Mytilus edulis: one gene and its partner. The protein of the gene in region 2 interacts with the protein of the main gene of each other region in a pairwise test. Links are inferred from orthologs where the notes say so. Each region holds a gene or a part of one and is shown on either strand. Other genes may lie near its edges.

Evidence for each region. The genes of interacting proteins can lie anywhere in the genome.
Region 1: the proteins of ras GTPase-activating protein-binding protein 2-like (region 2) and E3 ubiquitin-protein ligase SIAH1-like interact in a two-hybrid assay, tested with the Drosophila melanogaster proteins (2 studies listed by BioGRID). The link is inferred for Mytilus edulis from reciprocal best matches to the Drosophila melanogaster genes rin and sina.

Annotation. Positions count from the first base shown.
Region 1 is NC_092350.1:59,087,719-59,094,918, forward strand, and holds the start of E3 ubiquitin-protein ligase SIAH1-like, read right to left. Parts: upstream 3,011-7,200; 5' UTR 2,930-3,010; intron 1-2,929. UniProt on the Drosophila melanogaster protein: E3 ubiquitin-protein ligase that is required for specification of R7 photoreceptor cell fate in the eye by mediating the ubiquitination and subsequent proteasomal degradation of Tramtrack (ttk).
Region 2 is NC_092352.1:25,710,496-25,718,114, forward strand, and holds the start of ras GTPase-activating protein-binding protein 2-like, read right to left. Parts: upstream 3,066-7,619; 5' UTR 2,955-3,065; intron 2,953-2,954; exon of another isoform or gene 2,609-2,952; intron 2,562-2,608; exon of another isoform or gene 2,497-2,561; intron 892-2,496; 5' UTR 871-891; coding exon 776-870; exon of another isoform or gene 278-775; intron 1-277.

The DNA.
Region 1 (7,200 bases), on a different chromosome or scaffold from region 2:
TGTATTTCCACTAATATAGATCCATGGCACCACTCAAATATATCAACCTCGCTGCATATACACTATATATGTATATACCAGTCACCCAGTCAGGAACCTCTTAGTGTATGCAGAGACATACATATACACATGTGTATATATGTCTCTGGTGTAATAGTCCCAGAGTTAAGTAACTTTAACCTATAAATTGAAACAATGCTTATACATGGAAATATATACATTAATCAAGAAGATCTAACCAAAAGTATGTTAATGCGTGTGGAATGCGTAATTTTCCCTTTTGGGATCAATTTTTGTCTGTCAGCAGTGCCATTCATGCGTCTGTAGTCATTATCGCAAGAATCCGGATTTCGGTCATAGCGGGTCCGTTTCTGATGAAATCCTGATTTCGATCCGTAGTTCTACAAATTTAAATGTCGGACGAAGAAAAATTTACAAAAATAAACGATGTTTGATACGCTATTTGGAAAGGAATATGACGTTTCTAATGCAATACATGGATGACAAGTTTACTTGAGGCTAATTTCATCAAGTTCTGATGAAGTAATAACTGATTTTGCCGAAAGTTAGAATGATTTGATGTACGCTCTCGTGTAACAAGTATGAAAAGCATGCCCCCAGCTTAAAAATCTTTTAGAAGAAAATATATCGTGTATGCCTTGAATTTCTTTACTTTTAAATGCAAATTGCTCTTTCATTGACTTGGTAAAAATTAAATATTACCGATAACGAAATTGACTGAAAGCGAGTATCGTGAACAACACATTTTATTTTTTTCTGAGCATTTCGTAACAGTCGGCGGGAAAAATAATAATAAAAGTAAGAAGCACTACTTTTGTTTTTATTCTAAAATCGGGAAAGGTGGAGTCAGCGGATCTCGTTAAACAGATATTAAAAAAAGTCTGGCCTTATCACTTTTCTATTGTGTCGTCAGATATTTTCTATTATGACAAGTATGACATCAAAATTTTATGGAAACTTTAGAGGTACCTAGAAATGCACAAAATAGCGATTAGCAAAATATGATTAGGAAATAGTTCATGGGGCTTGAATTTAGACTGATTTTACAATGGGTTTGCCCTTTATGCTAAATATTTTACCAAGTGGGACAGCAAGGGGTAAAACATCAGCATAAAGGGAAAACATGTGGTAAAATCAGTATAAATTCAAGCCCCCATGAATTATTTCTATTCTATAAATAGGGCAAATACAACATTTTTTGTTATCGATGCGCATTAGGTGAAGGGAAATATTTGCTGGTCCTGTAAATAAACGCACTATTAATTTGACGTAAAAGTGTGTATAATTACGTCATCTTTTCATGACGTCGGGTCATACCTGCCAACTTTTGAAAATGGCCATGGGGGTTTTTGTGCGCGGCACCATTTTTGAGGGTAGAATTTTTCGCGGCATTTTTTCGTGTGTTGATTTGGCTCCTAAAAGTGTCTGACATACTTCTTTTTTGGGGGGTGATAGTTGAAGATGCTATTATAACCTATCTTTTTTTAAATTGTTTGATTGTTGTATTCTTTTTGTTGAGATAAACACCAGTAAGATGACTTTATGTTTGTCTGATACATTGTCAAGAAATAAAAAAAAAGTAATATTTTAATAATTTAATAACAAAAAAAACAACAATATATGAGGGTCTGGAAATGGGGGGGGGGGGGGGGGGGGACTGTTGTTCTGTAAACATTTAATTTTCACCCCTTTTTTCTCTAATCTTCAAAAAATTAACCTCTTTTTTTTCTAATCTTCAAAAAATTTGACCACGCATTTCTCCAATTTTTTTTTGCCCGTTATTCCCTTATCTTCATTTTTTAAGGGCATTATATTCTTTAATCATTTAACCCCATCCAAACCCTCATATATTATATAGATCAATATCACAAGCAGTACTAGAATGTTTGGAGACATCATTAAGGCCACCGTGGTCAACTTTAAAGTCTCTATTGCAAACTTTACAAAAGGCATGTGACAATCCTAACGTTGATTTAGACAACCAGCCCCTGTACTTGACATCATTCTCCCATTTCTCTAAGTATTTGCACGAAGCAACACGCTTTTTTTTCTTAGGCCGTGACAGAACTATTTTGCAAGTGATAACTCGCCCATCATGATTCCAATTTTTATAAATTTGACACCCAAGCTAAAAAAAAAAAAACAACTCAAAATTTCAATTCTTTGATTGTTTACTATGCCGACATTAATCAACTGGTGAATGCGTGATCACTAAATTTTGATTGGATGAAATTTGTCAGACACGATTTGTCTCCCTTGGGAAAACTTTTAAAAGTTCAAAATCGGGAACAAAAATATTTTTCGTGTAAATTTTACTAAAATCGTGTTTTTTGGCTATTTTCAAGATCACGATCGTGTAATCGGGACAGAGGGTCAAAATCGTGTAGTAAACGCCTAAATCGTGAAAGTTGGCAGGTATGTCGGGTATCTCATTCATAAAAAAGCTTATGACGTGCGAGTATGATCCAAACAGCCCAAACAATATATTTCTATTATATTAATATTATCAGCAGTGTGTACTCACAGGGTTAGATTAACGTCATGTTAGAATTTAAGGTGTATAAACTATGATGCCTGTGGCTGTGACTGCATGATATAATTTATGTTGTAAATAGACCAAATGTATGCCATCTCATTTGGAGTATGGTGGTGCATTGAGAATATTGCAGATGTTTATTTTCTTATTTGAAAAGGCATTGTTTTCGTGAAAGTAGAATCGTTAAAAAAAGATGTCTGGTTTGTGAAAAATTTTGTTGTAAAACCGTAAACAGAAATGGGCGATTTGTGCGTTTTATTGCGACTGGATTTTCATTATGACCATCAACACAGTACATTATGACATTTTTAACTATGACATAAGATTTTCTAAATATCAATTAAATATATCATAGTAAACACAGAACATTACATTCTATTTTCTTCTACGAGATAATTATTCTTCATTCTCCATTTATATGCGTTCTACGTCATCATTTCCGTTGTACATATCGTGGTTTTTATAAGTAGTTTTAGCGGGAAATTATGAATTGAAGTTTAAAGTTAACTATATTATAATATAAATTTATATATGAGACAATATCTGAAAAAGTCTAATTTTTGGAAATAAGAAAAAACAACTTTTTTTTTTTAGACCCAGTATTTTAATAGCACAAATCGAAGAACACACATTGGGGATCTAGGAACTGTTGTCTGTAATTCAAACAATTGTTTAATAAGGAAACAATGGCTATTTTAAAAATGATACAAACAAATCCAGTTCTTTCCTGTTACCAAAGTGAATCAATTTAAAAAAGTTTCTAATGGGAATAAGGAATAAGTTTAAGACACTATTTGTGGTTTACTAGTATATCCTGCAACAGTTTATCAAATGCCAATTATTGATTATGCATTTGCAATACAAAAGGTTTAGAAATATACGTAAATATAGTCAGATATGTCGGTAACATGAAAGAATCTTGAGTAACAGCACAACGGTAACAGGACAGAGTTGGTAACAGAAAGGATTTTTCTGCTTTACTTTAATGTTTAAGAAAAATACATCATTTTAAATTGGTTACAATTGGAAGATAACAGCAAACGATGTCATTTATCCTTTGAAACTGTATTTGCAAGATGAAAAATCTGCCTAGGTAATGAAAAATTCTAAAATAAATTCCTTTCTGTTACTATCTACTATACTAGAATTGCACAATGTTCTCTGCTGTTATCAAAAGCAAAAAACCTAATTTTTAATTCAATATACTGTATATTATTTTGAAATTTATTTAATATGGTGGTGATAACTTATATTAAATGAAATGGTTGGCATATAGTAGATTAACTTTTCGATTCTTCAGTAAAATTGTCTTGAACATCCTTCCTGTTACTGATGATGGTTATGCTGTTACTTTTTATCAGGTAACATGACAGAACGTAACAGAAAGGAATTACGCGATAGTTTTTGTCCTTTTTATCACATTAAATGTAAGTGTATTTCCTGTGACATATAACTTTTAAAAAGATGATATAAAAACACACTTAATGCTGTGGTGCACACTTAAAAATATTCTCAGAAAGTGTAAGAAAAGGCTGTAACAGGATAGAACACCAATAAGTATTTTTCTATAAATTCTTACCTTGGATATGGGCTTGAATTTTCAAACCTGGCCGCCTTTCCAACTATTTCTTTGTACTAATGCATTCAGGAAATGATGCTCTTCACAATTCATAATGGGAAAATAACTCTTGGTCTTGTAAACGTTTCCACAGGTAAAAAAAACACAGTGGTAACAGGAGGGAAATCACCCTTGGGGACAAATTTTTTTTTCTGTTAAAATTTGCAAAATTTTATTACATGCTATAGTTATAACATAAAAAGACAAATTAGGGGCAAGTTTATTATATAATATATCATATATGTGAGAATCGGACGCCTGTTTAATTAATTTGGATATTATTTGAATGATTTAGTTTTCAAAAAAACACAGGGGACAACATGATTTTAGGGGGGGTTGAACATTTAAATTACAATATTTTATTGGAAGAAATATAAGAATGAGTGTTTAATTGGCAGGCCATGGTGCATTATATAATTTAGTTTATACTGAAACTTAAAATTTTCAAAAAAGATGGTCGAATAAAAAAATAATTGCTGGTGAAGTGGGAGACATGGAAATTAGACTTTTTCAGATATTGTCTCATATATACTGTAGAAACACTAATTTCCGTGGGGTTAAAATTTCGCGTTTTTGTGTGTTAATAAGATTTCATTGGGATTTAATTTCGTGGATTCCAATAAATGGAATATATATATATAATTGTTAAATTTTCATGGACTCCATATATATATATAAATGGAGAATGAAGAATATATATATATATATATATGACAAGTACACACCCGTGATATCGCGGGTCCGTGACTGAATTAAAGTATATAACTATGCCTAAGCCTTATTTAAGTAATTAGTATTGTCATCTGATAAAGGCATGTCGGTTATAAATACAAAGTTTTCTCTGCTTTCAAATCTTTCTGTTTGAACCCGTCGATCTGGAACTTATCAATTATTGGTAATATTAATTATTTGGAAAACAAAGGTCCTGGCTATCCAGGAATGAGGGCCCTCATGGGGTTTTTGATTATGTGATTACTTGGCCGTTTTTTTAATGATTATTTGATTATTAAGCCAAATATTTCATGATTATTTGATTACCTAGGACTGTATTTTTAGTTTATGATTATTTGATTACTAAAGATAAGCAAATATTTAATGATTATGTGATTATATTGGCAAAAAAATGGTGATTATGTGATTACTAGGACCCCCCATGAGGGGCCTCAGGAATGGAGTATTGTTTAATCAACAGCATTGTCCTATATTAGTTATCTTAGAAAGTCTTGCTGATTGCTGAATAAAACTATAATAGGGAACAATTTGACAATGATTGAATTTAGTAGTGTCCCTTTGATTATGACCCGTGTATATAGCAAAATCCTAAATACACCGTTTGGTGGTGCGCCTGTCAAATGCGGAACGTACAGATAAGGTAATAGCTAACAGGTGAATATACTATTGGTATTGGTATCGGATTCGACCCGGAACTTGTTAATTATTGGCAATATTAATTATGTGGAAAACAAAAGGGTCTGGAGTGGTGTAATTTTTAATCTACACCATTGTCCTATATTAGTTATATATAGAGTTGAATTCTTTGATTTGTCGTTTTTACCCGATGACGGCTGACAAATTGGACCTCGTAATTTTAGTATTATAGATATATTCTTTCCACGAAATAAACGAAATTAAATCCTCCACGAAAATATCCGCTTCTACAGTATATGTAGACGACGATTTCTCATTATACTTAGACTGACTTTAAAACTCAATGACTTGTCTTAAAAGCTTAAAATTCTAGGATGATATTTGAAAAAAAGGCAGGACAGGATTTTGAGTTAAAAAAAAAAAGGGCAGGATGAGTAACTTGGCAAACAAAAAAGGCAGGATGACAATTGTTGTAAAAAAGTCAGGATAAGCTAAGAAAAAAAGACAGGACCGAATAGACTGAAAAATAAAAAGGCAGGACAGAGATTACAACTAAAAAAAAAAAGGCAGGACACAATTTTTTATCCTAGCCCCCCCATAAAAATCAAATAGTAGCTCCCTTAGAACAGGGTATGATTTGGCAAGTGCTGTCAGCACAGTCATAACCGAAATGGGTAGCCAGTATACCCCCACCCGCGGTCTTATCTTGCTTATTTTCTGCTAATTACCACCATGCATGCTTTACGTGCTACATTTTGTGCTGTTTGATTTATTGCATGTTTATATGTTGTATTGTTATGAATGTTAGATATCCTTGCTTGTATACTATGCCGACTCCAAATAAAGCTTATTCTTTTATTATTTATGAACCCGATCGAGACAGGATATCTGGAACATAATAGTATTGACATAATAGAGCATAATAGTCCCAGATGATAAACATATGCTAATGCAGATAACTGATCTCTGATTGTATGTGCAGGTAAACACTTTTTTTTTTGTATTCAGTATAGAAAAGATAAGATCAGATCAGATAAGATGCTAAGAAAACTCTATTTTGACTCGGCATTTATTTTTAAAATAAATATACATAGATTTTTACCGGATATAAAAAAAAAAGAGACATGTACACAATCTCTCAGTGGTTGAACTTGTTTAAGCACATATTTGAAACCAGCATGATAAACATAGGTGGATCCAGGGGGCCTGGGCCCCCTTTCGTTGAAAAAAATTGGTTGATTATATATTAGGGAATCACTAACGCATGACTGGATCCCCCTACCCCTTAGGTCAGTATAAGCGCCCCTTTATAAAAAGTTCTGAATCCGCCACTGATACAATAGTAAAATGGTCCACTGGAATAAACACTATGAAAGCTTGATTTGAAAACAAGTAAAAATCGCGATTACACTTTTTTCTATAAATAAAAGAAGTTCATCAATTACATGTATCAAAAAAATTTATGAGCCACTTTAGACATGAAAAATCCTACAGATAAAGATCTGCGAGATATCTGGGATATATTTTTGGTAGGCACAACAACATCAGAAACGACATTTTTTTTAGTGTAGTTTTAAAGAAATTGCTAAATTTAAAACAAGTTGCTTTCTTTAAAAAAAAGAAAAGCAATACATGAACCTAAGACCGCTAACACTAT
Region 2 (7,619 bases):
TTTATGGAACTCTGGCTTTGGCAAACCAACATTTTTTTTCAATGTGGTCCCACATCAAGAATATGATAGACCCAGAAAGAAGTCTGTTACATGTATATATTTTGAACAATAACTATTAAGAGGTCATTAAACTAGTATTTTTTAAATGAATCCATTTTATAGAAATTGCCTGTTTATGTTAAGTAAGTGCCCTAAAGTTATTGTCTATCGCGCTTAATGTGCCCTCTGAGCTAACAATTACCCTGCCCTTTTTAAAAGCTGCAGGAAACACTAATACCAGTTATAAATCTGGGTCAAGCCATGCCTTGAACCTTTCCAGGTGTACTGTTTGTCTGATCTCTTTGAAGAAATTTGGTGATCATGACCATACTTGTAAATTCCTTTTGATCAGCCTAAGTCAACTGATAATGATCCAACCTTGACAACTGCAGTGTATTAACATGCTCAGAATGTCTGCTTTGTTTGCATATTAATAAAAATCAAGTGATTTGTCAGACACAACTAAGTTTTCAAAGACTGGTTATTTCTTTTGAGAATTGACATCTGAAATGATGTAGAACCTGAAAAAATTACATGCCATTTTTTTTACAAATGGATCAAAACAATCTTTCGTATGGCATGGTAGAAATTTGTTCACCAACGGAAATTTGTCTGTAATCCTCTTTTCTTGGTGACAGGTCATATGCATTTTCATTGGAATTGATGTTGTTTTTTTTTATTAAGGACATTGTGGTCTACAAAAGCCGAATTGTTAGATCTGCACTTGGATATTTACCTGTGAAGATGCAGTGGGGCCTCGTTTAGCAAGGTATAGTATTGCCTAACGAATTCACGGCCAACGCACTGTGGACTTGGGGTTTCCATAACCATGACTTTGTATTATTAAGTAATCTGAAAAATACAATTTATAAAATTAAGAGAATTTTTTCATTATTTCAGGTCTTTTTCATTTTAATTATCTGACATAACCTTACACAATTTACCTACTGCAGCTTAAAATTACTACATGTACAATAATATTTAGAAAATGTTATCAAAGAATAAATTTTAAATGTTGCTGTACTTCTATAACTTTAATGTGTCAAATATTTGTGTTCTTTCTATGAACTTGAACTGTGAACAGGTGAATCATGGGCTCACTTAGGAGTCAAGGAGGTTTTAATACCAGGACAACTGGTGAAGTCTTTTTGGTTATTTTTGTTGTTGGCATGATGATATGTTTTGTTAATGAATACCCCTACATTTGTTCATTCATCCTTGTAATCTCTAAATACAATAATGTAATCCTGTTCTGTCCACTACTCTCCCATCATGGTGACAATACTGTTTGTTCTATCAGTTTTCACTCAAAATATTTATGGAGAAAAATTAAATGCTGGCACACAAAACTTATCAGAGCAATCATAGAAAAAAAAATCTATGCTACATGTATAAGAAATAAAATTGATATAAATTTAAATAAAAAATTTCATTTATACAGCACAAGAACAGACCATTTCAATTATTTTATAATACGAGTCATGTCTGTTTAAAGATGGGAACAAACCCCATGTTTGGTGATTATACAAAGAATAATAACCTGTTGTAGGAAATTAAGCACAAACAGAGGAATATATTAAATAAAAACAGACACTTTTTTAAAAGTTGCGAACATGAAGGCAGAATAAGAAGCACATGATTAAACCATATTTAAATTAAAAAAATCATAATTGGTTATGCCTGTTGAACCCAGTGAATTCATCATTAGTTTACAAGACATCACTGAACAATATGCCACTTCCTCGAATGTCTTTCTACCAGAAAAGATCATCAATTTCTTAAGCCTTTATGATGTCATTTGCCAGATAGAACTTAGAAGGCACAATTGTATCCCTGCCTAATTAAAAGTTCAAGCACTTTCGGAATCGCCATTCTGCAGGGTAGTCTGTTAATAATTGATGTTCTGTAAGTACAGGATTTTCATTTCCGTACAACTTTGGGAAGGTGACCAACTTGTTAAATTTCGAAAATATTTTGTGCAGTATAAATTATAACTATAAGATCAACATTTATTTGCCTCATCCCTCGATATATGTTGGAAGTGACAATCCCTACATTTCGGTTACTAACTTATCCCGGAACAAACGCTTTTTTTCCTTATATTTTCTGTTATTGACATCAGAATGTTCTAGAAAATGCACCAAATTATGTGAAAGTAAACTATCCAACAAAATAAAAGTTACTAAATCTGAAAATTAATTTCAAGATTAACTTTTAACAAAACAAGAGAAGACTTTATTAATCAATTTCAGTCAGTATGAAAATATTCTTTAGATATAATGATATACCTTTACTAAAATAGTTTCATGGCAACACTACAAAATAATTTGTTTCATGGCAATAAACCTCAAAATTCTGTACAAGAATTTCTCCAAATCTGACAATAAAGTGTTTCATAAGTTATGTCAAAGGATCAAGGATAATTTTCACAAAAAGGTTAAACATTCAAACGCTTACAAAATGTATATCAGAAAGTGAAAATAATCACGGAAGCCATGTCTGAACACACGAGGAAAAATACCGGTTCATAATTTCACTGTAAAATATCAATTTTTTGATGTAAACTTACCTCACGAATGGTGAATTTTTGGTGATATGTGAATAAAATATTTACAAATACATTAGAATACTAAATATATGAATCTTAAAATGATAAAATATTGGATTTGACGTCCGTAAAAACTACGAAGAATTGCACATGCAGTGTGCGCAGTGAGTCCTAATTTTGTCAAAATTTGCGCACATAACGGGGACACCCTGTGTGCCAAATTGTATCCCCCAAATCGGAATTACTGTGGTCAAAATTTCAATTTCTTCAAAGAACATACAATGTTTTTGTCATTTTAAACGTAAAATTTCTTTTAAATAAGAGTAGTCCACTTCTAATAACTCAAAAACGACCACCGAAGTCTTACCTTTAACCTTCAATGAGAATGCATTTCTTTGTTTCTCTGCTAATAAGGATCGGAATGGGCACATAAAAAACAAAATCAGATTTAAAAAACGGTTTACATAGTCCTGAATCAGGATATATGATAGTAACTCTTCTGGTTTTGTTATAAGGATCAAAGAACTGTCTGGTTTTTTTAAATTTCTGCAGTTAGGTTATTTTTGTTATTTCACTTTTTGGTACCGTGACAAATATCAGAGACATATTTTGTATGTCTCTTGAAAAGATGTTTTGGAACATTTTGAATAAATTAAGTAGACAAAAAAGTAATAACAAAGAAAATGAATCTGTACCACAAGAAGATTTCATCCAGTTTTATAACAAAATTGAATAGCTGTGACATAAATCACAATAGTTTTCACTCTAAAATTATTAAAGATTTTGACTCTCTAAAAGAACAGTTTAATTTATCACATGTTACGGATGACTTAACTCACTTGAGTTCAGAGATAACAATTGAAGAGATAGTAACAGCTATTCGTTTGAAAAAAAATGGCAAAAGCATATCAGCCGACATGATTTCCAATGAAATGTTGAAAAATGCAATCCCTATTTTTTTAAATAAAACCACTTCATAAACTCTTTAATAGCATATTCGAATCTGGTCAACTTCCGAGATTATGGAATGAAAGCTTACTAGTCTTGTTCTCTTGCATAAGAAAGGGGACAAATTTGATCAGGGAACTATAGAGGTATATCTATTAGTTCCAACCTGGGTAAACTTTTTAATAAAGTTTTATATAAACCATGTAAACGTTTAGTAACATTTATGGATATCAAAAATTTAATAAGTAAAAATCAAATAGGTTTTAAAGAGAAAAGTCGTACAGCTGACCACATATTCACTCTTAAGACCATAACTGATCAATATAGACAAAAAAACTTGGAAATTTTTTGTTGCTGCCTTCATAGACTTAAAAAGGGCATTTGATACTGTATGGCGACTTAACAGTGGCGGATCCAGAACTTTTCCTAAAGGGGGGGGGGGGGCCGCTGACTGACCTAAGAGGGGGCCCGCTCCAGTCATGCTTCAATGATTCCCTATATAATCAACCAAATTTTTCCCACGAAAGGGGGGGCCCGGGCCCCCTGGATCCGCCTATGGACTAGGTTTATTTTCTAAACTCATAAAACATAATATCCCCCAAAAAATGTTTAATGTTATTTATTCAATGTATACTGATACAGTATGTAGAATAAAATTCCCTAATGGTTTCAGTCCTCCATTCCTACCAGAAAGGGATGTTAAACAAGGTGACGTATTGAGTCCCCTTCTTTTTAACTATTTTATAAATGAACTAGTAGGTAATCTTGATAACAAACATACGGATCCAGTTGCCATTGGAGATACCTCTTTGAACATTCTTTTATATGCAGATGATATTGTTTTACTATCTGAAAGCGAAGAGGGTCTACAAAAATCTCTTGATATTTTACATGAATATTGTTCGTCATGGAAACTACAAGTTAATACTGATAAATAAAAAATTATGATATTTAATTCTAATGGCAAAACATTGTTAAACCATTTTACTTATGATAATGCATATCTTGAAACGGTAACAAATTATTGTTACTTGGTTATTGTTTTAAAGTATAATGGCAATTTTTGCCTTGCTGTGAATACTCTCATGGAAAAAGCCAGGAAGGCATATTATAAGATAAAGAAAACTATAGGTCTCAACAACCCATGTAGACTTCTTGAAAAATTGTTTGATTGTTTAGTTACTCCCATTCTTACATATTGTAGTGAAATTTGGGGGATGGATTCACATTTTAAAGACTCTGATCCCTTTGAAAAACTTCATGTTAAATTTATCAAAGACATATTAGGGGTTCACTGTAAGGCATCTAATGATGGATGTCGAGCCGAACTTAATAGAATTCCCTTGAATAATAAAATATTATATTCAATATTCAACTACCTGAACCATATAATTTCTTCGGAAAATTCTTTGGCATATGATATATTCACTAAATCTGTAGATTCAAACCCTTGGGTCATAAAGGTCAAGAGTCTTTTGAATGGACTTGGAATGTCTTATATCACCAATAACTTTAATTATGTTAAAGGTAATTTAACTTCTATTAAACAAAGAATTAATGACCAATGTTTGCAAGTTCAAAATGCAAATATATTTGAATAAAAAAAGTTAGACTTTTTCAAGAGTGTCTACATAATGGACAGAAGACCACCCTATGTTGATATATTGAAAATCAGAAGTGACAGAGCTGCAATATGTAAGATCCGTATAAGCGCTCATATGCTGATGATTGAAAGAGGGAGACATTTAAATATTCCCAGAAATGAGAGATACTGCTCTGTATGTAACTCTGGTCAAATTGAAAATGAAAACCATTTTCTTTTACATTGTGAAAAATACTCAACTAAAAGGGCCATATTTTATCAAAAGTTTCAAATATAATCGTTGATTCTACAAAATTAAAAAAACATGAAAATAATATAATCTTTTTATTAAATAATAATTCATACACAATCCTAAAATTGACGTCCTCTTTCATTTCAGACAGTTTGAACCTGCGTAAAGCAGAACAAACTCCATAAAATTGTCAAAATGTCTAATTCATAATCATTGTTTATAATATTACATATTAATATACTCATTATTTGTAATACTTATTATGTTTGACCAACTATGTAATTGATATACCATGAGCCTTAACCATTTATTGTTGATGAGTTTGTGCTAATAAAATATTTGTATTTAATATCTGTCAAATATCAATGATTTACTCTTAGAGAGGGGACCGGGATATGACTTTTATCGGGACTACGGGATCGGGTATTTTTAAGCTCGGAATTTCGGGATTGACCCTTTCGGAATCCGGGATTATTTTTTTTTCGAATTTCGGGATGTCGGGATTAACTTGAATTATTTGAATTAGGGTCCTCGGGATTTTGTGTTTTAAACCCAGGATTTCGGGATCGGGACCCCTCCCCCCCCCCCCCCCCCCCCCCCCCCCCCATTATACATGTGCAGGACAAGAAATAAATTTTAAATTTAACTATTATTACAATATCTATAGATATTATTAAAAGGAATGATGCAAGTACAACTAATATAAACATAGATCAATTAAGTTCAGATTCCAAGCCGGTTAATTCAGATCTAATCAGGTGTAAACAAGAATGTGTCCTCAGTACACGAATGCCCCACTCGCACTATCATTTTCCATGTTCAGTGAAATTGGAGTAAAAACTCTAATTTGGCATTAAAATTAAAAAGGTCATATCATAGGGAACATGTGTACTAAGTTTGAAGTCGATTGGACTTCAACTTCATCAAAAACTACCTTGACCAAAAACTTTAACCTGAAGCGGGAAAGACGGACGAACAGACGGACGGACGGACGGACGAACGGACGCACAGACCAAAAAACATAATGCCCCTCTACTATCGTAGGTGGGGCATAAAAATCAAATGACACTCTTTTTTAGAGGAACAAATATTATGAAACCATATGATATTTTAGTTCCAGGAAAATATCTTATGAAGGTGGAATTAATATTATGTAACTTTTGTTATCCATAGTTTTGTTCCAGGGGGAACAAGTATTATGCGGAACAAATATATGTTCACAGTTTCAGATGAAACGGCAATGAGTTGATTAAAGGATGACATCAAAAGATCAATGTAAGATAAAAAAAAAATCCACTTAAATCAAATATTATGAGTGATGGGGTCAGTGAAAAAAAAATATATCATGAATTAAATAAAAGATCTAAATCACTCGGGCAAAAATAACATATATTCTCTATATATTGTTTAGTCCTCTGCTCCGTCGTATGGTACGTTATGCTCGCGCATGAAGGAGTGAGCTCCTTACGCAAACTGCTCTAACAGAGTCATTAGAAGAAAGATTAATGAAAGTACTGAAATACTGAACATCGGATGACTGCAAGTTCTTGTTGATGGTCACACTTGTCTAAAAAAAAAATCACATCTGTATACCTGAAAGTGAGGTATAATAAATTTTTTTAAAAATCTGAGACAAGTTCGTGCGTGCATTGATGATGAATAAATGACAGAGAATTCAATCTCACCGTTATAACTATTAAAGTTGTAGCGATACAAATAAGTATACTCTGGTTTGTTGTTATATATTATATTAATATTTGTATACTAGTATAACAGTAAAACATGAATATATAATTTTCATCCATTTGTATATCATTCTTTTCTACTATTCTAATGATTGTGCAGTGCAAGTGAATGGTGCCACTCTTCTGTAATAATTCTTTATTTTAAATAGATCGCGGGATTTGAGTAGGCATTCATATTTCCCCCAAAACGTTCTTGAGATATTATTCCGCATGGTTAACAAATTTTTCTGTACGTGTGCATAGATATTAATGAATTTCTACTGATATATATATTTCGAACGACAGAACATTTTCATATTATTAATTTATGTCACAGTCTAAAAGAAATATTTTTATGAGAATTCATTGAAGAATTGAATTTATAACAAGCAATAAGGAATGCTATTTTGCATTCGATAATGTCATCGCGATTTTAAAATGATTTTATGATTTTATGAGGTTCTTTGAAAAGCTGAATCCATCTATGTATTAGATTTTGGTTTTTGGTTTTTGGGCTCCTTTATC